2 linked regions of the Caenorhabditis elegans genome follow. The protein of the gene in region 1 interacts with the protein of each later gene in a pairwise test. Each region holds a gene or a part of one and is shown in the gene's direction. Other genes may lie near its edges.

The links. Proteins that work in one complex are often made in the same cells at the same time.
Region 2: the proteins of str-173 (region 1) and app-1 interact in a two-hybrid assay, tested with the Caenorhabditis elegans proteins (one large-scale study listed by BioGRID).

The regions. Positions count from the first base shown.
Region 1 is NC_003282.8:4,860,209-4,864,695, forward strand, and holds str-173 (Serpentine receptor class r-10), read left to right. Parts: upstream 1-1,564; 5' UTR 1,565-1,976; coding exon 1,977-2,174; intron 2,175-2,447; coding exon 2,448-2,535; intron 2,536-2,581; coding exon 2,582-2,660; intron 2,661-2,838; exon of another isoform or gene 2,839-2,862; intron 2,863-2,869; coding exon 2,870-3,004; intron 3,005-3,209; exon of another isoform or gene 3,210-3,230; intron 3,231-3,273; coding exon 3,274-3,547; intron 3,548-3,592; coding exon 3,593-3,770; intron 3,771-3,827; coding exon 3,828-3,895; 3' UTR 3,896-3,941; downstream 3,942-4,487. Other genes in the region: Y17G9A.4 (Peptidase_M15_4 domain-containing protein), read right to left, coding at 187-406, 454-663, 802-946, 994-1,106, 1,164-1,198.
Region 2 is NC_003279.8:4,964,131-4,968,674, reverse strand, and holds app-1 (Xaa-Pro aminopeptidase app-1), read left to right. Parts: upstream 1-1,585; 5' UTR 1,586-1,604; coding exon 1,605-1,724; intron 1,725-1,769; coding exon 1,770-2,150; intron 2,151-2,197; coding exon 2,198-2,632; intron 2,633-2,679; coding exon 2,680-2,733; intron 2,734-2,781; coding exon 2,782-2,921; intron 2,922-2,971; coding exon 2,972-3,339; intron 3,340-3,385; coding exon 3,386-3,558; intron 3,559-3,601; coding exon 3,602-3,781; 3' UTR 3,782-4,008; downstream 4,009-4,544. Other genes in the region: W03G9.5 (Protein kinase domain-containing protein), read left to right, coding at 292-390, 435-668; Protein pid-4, read right to left, coding at 4,437-4,544. UniProt on the Caenorhabditis elegans protein: Catalyzes the removal of a penultimate prolyl residue from the N-termini of peptides, such as Arg-Pro-Pro. Has activity towards the flp-9 neuropeptide KPSFVRF-amide.

The DNA.
Region 1 (4,487 bases):
TAGACTCTTCTAATCGTCGATTCGGCTGCATTAGTTTCTTCTCTTAACTGGACAATTATTTGCCGCTAAACAAAATGGGCTTATCATATTAAGAAACAACAGATATTGAAATCAGATTACAGATTAAGTCACTTTACCATGAAAAAACGCAAAATTCTAAATAAATTCATTATTTCAAAAACGCGATTATTTAAAGCCAGAAATCAAAATAAACTGTTTGCCAGTTTGTTTCTTCGAGTCCGGATAGACTTCATCAATTGAATCCCACCATCCAGGTCCCCAGACTCTTCCAAAACTGTTGGCCGAGCGAATCGATACGTCCAGATCTTTTCCCATTAGTCCAACAAAACGAGAATTTTCGAGGTTTTCAGAGAGTTTTACAGGAACATCATTGTAATCTGGCTGCCTGAAAATTAACATTTTCTTAAATTTATCAAAACTTAAACTCCCGACTTGTTGAGTCCTTCCGCGCAAATAATTTTAACTTCATTTTCGATATTATCCTTGGCATTTTCTGTAGTTGATCTCCAATAATGACTACGGTAAATGACAATATTACTCTTTCCAGGATTATACGAAGTTATATATTGTTCAGCATTTCCATAAAAGGAATTACTTTCCGTTTCTCCCTTATTATCATAAACCATTATATAGAAGACATCGCTGAAAATGGGAAAATGAGAATAAGGCCAACGTTCAATTATTTTCCTCGACGCCTTCTTCCTAACGGTAGAGTAGGCGTAGGTAACATTCAGGCAAGCCTTGCCAGAAGTCTTTTTTAGTGTTTTTCAAACAACTCACGAAGTATTAAACCGCATGAGCTCCGTTTTAATTAAAACTGCCCTGTCATCATTTGTCACATGCATATCATTTTCAATCACATAATCCACAATTTTCTTCACATTTTGGGGCCAAATGTAGTCCATTTTCAGAGGTATTCCCGAAGCTGAAATAACTTTCAATACGATTTTCAAGAAAATGTTCAAACTTTACTTTCAACATTTTCTGTTTCAATCCATTTCTGAATAAAATATGTAAGCCCAAATGCGATTAATCCACACAGAAACAAACTTATTAGAATTAGAAGCAAACACTGTTTGGGAGAACTGAAATCCGATATATTTAGAATTTGGTACATACTCAAATATTGAAAAAAACCTTACTTTTCACAATCTGTAGTACGTCGGTTTTGAGACATCTTCACAGGACAATGTTTAATGTTTTTAAAACAACTTATATAGGTAGATGAAAGATAAGGAGGAACGTGTGACAAAGATAATCTTCAATTTCACACAACTTTTCAAACGGAAATTCCTTAAGAAATGAGGAATATCATCGAGAAGAGTGAACATAAGACAACTGTTCCACTGATAAAAATTTTTTAAACCGGTTTCAATGTTCGTTTCGTATCTGAAATACTTTCAACAACTTGATCTTTTAGTTGTTACTTCCCTTTCATTGGAGACAACTTTCGTTGACTTTATTGACTTATGCATCTCAGACATGAACGCACACAAGACCCCCTTTTTCGGCCTGCTTAGTATATACTACTATACAGTGGTTAGTACTCCACGTTGTGGCCGTGGCGACGCTGGTTCGATTCCAGCAGCAGGCAACTCTTTTACTCCAGCTTCATCTGACAAAATTACCATAAATCAGAACGAAAGTTGTCAATGACTAAAAAAAACGTTGACGAAGCGCTAATGTTTCCAGGTGACTGATTTTTGAGAAAAGAAGTTTTTTTTCGAAATGAAAGAAGCTGTCGATATATTTACCTTTAGTATTATAAAATTCTTAGAACCTTAATTTAGTATTATCTTCAGCTAATTATACATAATTTGTTGAGAAAGTACATCCCACGCGTTCTCATAAATTAATACATTCTCAGTAACATTTTCTATTAATTTCCTATAACATTCTCCCGGAACTATAGTGTCTAGAAAGCCTATAATCAATAATACCAGTCTAAAGAAACAATGACGCCTGTAACTTTTGCAAATATCAAAACTGTGATTCAATTTATTTCCGTTTTTATTTCAATATTCATCAATGCTCTCTCCATCTACCTTATCGTCACAAAATCTCCAAAAATCATGGGAACATATCGGCACTTGATGATTTATTTCTGCGGTTGCTCCATGGTCTTTTCTGTACTGGATGTGATTGTTCAACCGGTAATATCAATATTTTTGTTATATACTTTTGCAAAGATTTCACAAAAAGAAATGGTTTTTTTACCAAAATAACATAAAGTACAAAAATAGCAAACAAGTACAAAAATAGCACAAGCGGACATTGTCTTTGTTTAGAATTTGAAACGGGAAATTTTTTATAAAAATTTTGTAAACTAATAAATAATACGATTCACTTTTCAGTTAAGAATAAAATATGAAATGAAATGAAATTAATAAAATATCAAATCACCATCAATTTACCAAAATTTTCAGAGCATTGAAACCTACAAAAGTGCGTTCCTAATGGTTGTTGATGTCAAAAACCGATCTTTAAATTCCTGGTCAGCAGTATTATTTATGAGTAGGCTGACCAAATTCATTAAAACTGTTTAAAAATTTTTTTTCAGATCTTCTTTGCGGTTGTATCGGAGTCACTGTATATGGAATTGCTATTCATTTTATTTATCGGTTATTAGCGCTAGAAAGGTAATTACTTTGGCATTACTAAACTGCAACTGCATTGAATAACTGATTGATTAACTGCTAGGTGCAAATTTAAAATACTCTTATTAATATAATTATTTATGCTAGATAAAATTAGACAAATTTAGTAAATAACTGTTTCATAATTGTCTTAAAATATCCACACAATTGATAAAAATATTATTTGCGGCAAAACTCTATGTCAATTTCAGAAAAGGCCGACTCCGGTATTTCAATTGCCAATACCTACCCATTTGGTTTAGCATTCCGATTCTCGCTGGAACAATATGGTACATTGTGACTGAAAATATTTTTGGAATGAACCCAGTAAATACGGAGTATATCAGGTAGGAAAATGTTTTGCCTATGCCTACCTATCCCAGATGGTCTCCACTTCGAGAAGAAAAACATTAATTTATGTGCACTTTCGCAGTAGGTACTCGTTAGGTAGGTAGGCACGGAACATACCTAGATCATTTTTAAGTGTTTCATTTAAGATAGTTTTGAATGTTTCATGTTGTACATAAATACAACAATATTTATGATATTTACTGAATACATATCTCAATAGGCTTATTTTCATTAAATATTGTTCTAAGTGAGGGCTATTTTTTAGAAACCCCGTTAAAGACTCTTTCAACATGAAAATGGAGGATTGCGTGTACGGTGCAGCTGTATTCTATCCAATTGATAAAAATGGTATCAAAACTATCAGTTGGATCTCATTTTTTGGATTAGGGTGTTACTTAACACTTCTAACAATTCCATTTATTTCAATCTTGGTTGCTGGAGCAAAAAGTTGGAATCATGTTCAAAAACTGCTCGAACATGGAGAATCCGAGTTTGCCAGGAATTTGCAGATGCAATTGTACAAGGCCTTAATAGCTCAGGTTAGACAAACTGAATGTTTATAAAGTTTTCCAAACTATTTCCAGACTCTTATCCCAGTGGTATTCTTCTTCACACCATTTGGTTGTGTATTTGTACTTCCTGCATTTGAAATTGAATGTCAATTTATGTCAGCTCCCATCACATTGGTTTTTGCAATTTATCCCGCAATCGATCCTTTACCCAATTTGTTTTTTGTGGACTACTACAGGAATCCTATATCAAGTTGGTTTTCAAAAATATTGAATTGTTATAATTTATAGAAATTAACTTAATCTTCAGATTTTCTCCGCAAAGTTTGGTGCAGAAAGCCTAAAGTCGAAGCCGCGACAATTAATTCTACATTGTGAATATTTTAAAAAGTACTGTTTTAATAAAATTTTGTTTTAAATATTCATCTAATAATTATTGATGATCCCTATGAACACGGCTGTGAGACTGATAGTGAAAATACAAAAACTTTGTGAAATTAGCAAATATACCTAGCAAACACTGACATGAAGACATGGAAAATGACATGGAGACAATGTAATAGTCTATTTCAGCAAAGTTTATTTAAGGTTTTGAAACAGTAAAGTTTTTCCACGAAGCTGTGTTTTCAAAGTGTTTTTCAATCCGCGTTTTTCGGTGATTTTTTGCTTGTGGCAGTGGGTTGAATACATCACTGATATTCAATTTTTTTATTCTAAAAATTCTGGTATTTATGTAGAGCTTAAGTTTCTCCTACCGCAAAGAAAAGAACCGCATAATTTGTTTGAATTTCCGTAATGTCAGTTAATTAATGCGAATAATTACTTACCTTTGTACTCAGTATAATAAAGTACCATAATAGTTGAGCTTTATTCAATCAATCTGCATATCAACTTTCAAAAATTTCACAAAAAATTTGGAACGCTTCACGAATTTGCGTGTCATCCTTGCGCAGGGGCCATGCTAATCTTC
Region 2 (4,544 bases), on another chromosome or scaffold:
GACAGGCAGGCATTAAGTTAGAACCAGGGAATGAATAATGAAGGCATGTATGAAGCCAGGCATAGGAAATGCAGTTTTGAGGTGCGCCTAGGCAGGTAGGTATGAGGTCAGAATAGGCATACGGGATCTGAGAATCAGGTAAGTGTGTGTTGCGTGTAGTTCTAATGCAAACGCGTAGGCAGGCATGGGGGAGCTCAATATTAATAATAAATCGTTATTAGGCAGGCATGCGGCAGGTAGATAGGCATGTAGGTAGGTGCCGTAGACAAGAGATATATTTGAAACATTCAGGGAAAACAAGAAGCCAAGCCGGCGACACCATCTGCTCGATCTGAAACCAGTAAGAAAGTGAAAAGGAGATATATTGCGAGAACACCATCGGCGCATAAGGTATAGAATACGTTATTCGACGTATTAAATTTTCCAATTTTCAGATTGAACAGATTGAAAAGAACTGGAAGAAGAAAGAGGAAGAAGCGAATAAAGAGAAGTTGCTGAAGAATGCACGGGCGGCACGAAGAGCCAAAGAAGATTTTATTGTTCCGGAGGATAATACGGTTCAAAAAAGAAAACTCGAGAGCACACAACTGTCGTCTGCAGTTTCCACGAAATCCACTAGAAGTATTGGAAAGAAGATTTTGCCGCCGAAATCATTTGAGCTTCATTGATAAATTTTATTTTTTAATTTTGTAGACACACAGACAGATGTAATCGTGCTAAAAATTACGATTTTGAAAAAAAACAATTTTTCTTTTTCTTAATTTTTTTGAATACGAAAGAATGAATTTCCAGACTGAAATTTTCATTATTCATTAATTTTCGCACGCGTAAATTTTTGGAGAGGAAATAAAAAACCGCGATGCGAGTTTGGGTTTTGCTGTTCACAGTTTGTTCAACAAATTTATTATGAGTATTTTTTAAAGGTTATTTTCTAAAATTCTAGACCTGAATTTCGAGCGAAACTCATTTTCAAATCTCCTCCTTTTTTGACCCATCAATAGAGCGCGCCTTCTCAGCTTTCGAGTCACCACCGATTAGAGGCCTGTGAGACCTCGTGTCATAAAAATTTCTGAAAAAAAGCGTGGATAATTCGTATCAGGACACGAATAAAGTTAATATTTTAAATGATCCACAGTGAAATTAACATTTTCATTGAAATTTTCGTCTTTTAATGATATTTCAAAACGTTTCCTTTGCGGTTTTCCAAGTTTCCACTTCTTGAGTCTAGAGATCTCGAGTCCGTAGATACTCTTCTCATTTTTTGGAACAGCGTTCGTTCTCGATTCGGCAGTTAATTTTTCATTTTAAAACATTTTTAGACTTCAAAAATAGTTATTTTTCAGTTTTCTTCTCAAAAAATTTCCACATCCTCTGTTGTTTTCATTCAATAGAATTCAGAGATGATTTTTGATTTCTGTATGTATAAAACCATTTGTGATTGCGTATTAAAACGATTGATCGACAATTTCGTCGTTGGTTTTATTCGTTATCAGCTCTAAAATTCGAGAAAAATGTGCAGACGATTAGACGCTTGGTTTTTAAATTTCTCTTTACAAGTTTAGCTTTAATTTTCTTTTTTTTTCAGATCGGGCAGAATTGGAGTGATGACAGCATTGGAAAAACTCGCAAAATTGAGATCCTTGTTCCATTCGGAACGGGTTCTCGCGCTCACTTCCAGCAAGCCGATGGTCGCGTATCTTCTCCCAAGCACTGACGCTCATCATGTTGGTTTTTAGGCTTCAAATAATCTTCTAAATGTTAATTTTCAGAGCGAATATCTAGCCGATTACGATTTTCGAGTGAAATTCCTGTCTGGTTTCAGTGGTTCCAATGCCTACGTTGTTGTTACCGATAGAGAAGCTCTCCTTTGGACTGATGGCCGATATTTCACTCAAGCCGGGAATCAGCTTGATTCCAACAGCTGGAAATTGATGAAACAAGGACAGCCCGATTCGATTACTGTCGTTGATTGGCTTGTGAGAGAGCTCGAGCGTGGATCCGTTATTGGATTTGATCCAACTCTGTCGACGTTCGACGCTGGTTCCAAGACATTTAAACGTCTGAAGGCAGCAGGTCTTCAACCAGTCTCGATTCCTGGAAATCTAGTCGACGAGTTCTGGACTGATCGGCCAAGACTCGCTGGTGAGCCAGTAAGTTGATAGATCTATACTGCGGGATTTAATGTTCCACTTTTCAGGTAGTCGTGCTCGATGTTGAAGACACTGGTCTTACAACTTCAAAAAAAGTCGAGAATCTTCGGGAGAAGCTGAAACAAAAAAAGTGCGACGCAGCTGTATTTACTCTTCTTGATGATGTTATGTGGCTTCTGAACATTAGAGGAAGTGATATCCCGTACAATCCTCTTGCATATTCATATCTCTTCGTGGCAATGCGCGAGATTCACGTATTTATCGACAATGAGAAACTCGATGAGAAATCTCGAGCCCATTTCCACAAATCGAATGTATCGATTCATCCATACGGAGAAGTCTATTCATGGATATCCAATTGGCTCAAGGCAAAAGAAGCGAGCAAAGAGCCTCACATGGTTTATCTCACACCAGAAACTAATTACGCTATTGGAAGCATTATTGGCGAAGAGAACTCGATGGTTGACACTTCCCTGGTTCAGGTAATTCCATGAATTTCTTGAAATTTTTGAAATTTAATCTTTTTCAGACCGCCAAGGCCACCAAAAACGATCATGAAATGCAAGGAATGAGAAACAGTCATGTAAGAATGGCTACAGCATCGTTTAGGATATAATTTAATTCTTTCTAGCTTCGTGATAGTGCTGCTCTTGTTGAGTTCCTTTGCTGGCTCGAAAAGGAGTTGCTCTCTGGAAAAAGATACACTGAAATCGAGTTAGCTGATAAGATAGACCATTTGAGAAGTCTTCAAGACAAATATGTTACTTTGAGGTTCGTTTGTTAAATATTTAAAACTACATTTAATTTATATTTATTTTCAGTTTTGATACCATATCAGCTGTCGGAGATCACGCAGCACTTCCCCATTACAAGCCTCTCGGAGAAAGTGGCAATCGTAAGGCTGCAGCCAATCAGGTGTTCCTCCTCGATTCTGGAGCTCATTATGGAGATGGAACAACCGATGTGACGAGAACTGTGTGGTACACGAACCCACCGAAAGAGTTCATTCTGCACAATACTCTTGTATTGAAGGGACACATTAATTTGGCACGGGCCAAGTTCCCTGATGGTATCTATGGTTCTCGTTTGGACACGCTGACTCGTGATGCTTTATGGAAGCTTGGTCTCGATTTTGAACATGGTACTGGACACGGTGTTGGACACTACCTTAACGTACACGAAGGACCGAGTAAGACGAAAACAGTAAATGTAACTGTTTGAATATTTATTTTCAGTCGGAATCGGTCATCGTAGTGTTCCAACCGGTGGAGAGCTTCATGCCAGCCAAGTGCTTACCATTGAGCCAGGATTCTATGCCAAGGAGAAGTACGGAATTCGAATTGAAAACTGTTACGAAACAGTTGAAGCTGTTGTCATGTCTAAAGCTCAGAACTTCTTGACATTCAAGGTATACCCAGATCCCAGGAACTTTATAAACTTATTAATTTCAGTCTCTCACTTTGGTGCCTATTCAAACTTCGATCGTCGACAAGTCTCTTCTGATTGAAGAGGAAATCAATTGGCTCAATCAATACCACGCTCGGGTTCTGAAGGAAGTTGGTGAACATCTTCAGAAACGCGGAAAAACGGATGAGCTGAAATGGCTCGCAGAAGCCTGTAAACCAATCTAAATATCTGGAACAATTACAACATGTTTTATATTATTTTAACCGGTCAACGTCTTGTTGAGCAAATTTGTGCTCAATTAACTATTTTTTATCACAATTTCTGGATCCTGGTGTAAAACTTATTCTCCCCGAATGATTCATCCGTATTCCCCTTTTTTTCTCCTGTCGTTCTTTCTCGCTTTTCCGTAGATTTCCTGTACTAATACTTGAGAATGAATCTTTTTCTTTTGTTAGTTGGAAAATTGAAACATAAATAACAATGCCGGCTAGCAGGTCTTAACAACTGTAAGCTAGAATGTTTGGTTGACGACATTTTGCTGTCGGATTTTGACATCGGTGCAGAGATTCAAGCCAAAGTGCTTACAAGTGAGCCAGGATTGGATGTAAGGTTAATAACGAATTTGAATTGAAAACTGTTGCGAAACTGATGAAGCTGTTGTGAACTGCATTCTCATAGATCCAAGATTCTCGCTTTTAACTTCTCCTCGATTTCCTGTATTTACAAATTCTTGAAAATGAATAATTTTTATTTGTTGATTCGTAAACTGAAATATTTAAAAAAAAGAAACAAAAATACGGACCAACGGGTCTTAACAAGTAAACTAGAATACGGTTTGATGACACAGATGAAAAATAATTAAAGCTTGAATATCAAGCACTAGTTGGCCGGCTTCATATAGCTGCCGCTCGCGGGAAATTTGAATTTTTGCGGAGATCTGTCCACGAATGGCTTCTTATTCTTATCGGCGATCCATGACGCTGGAAT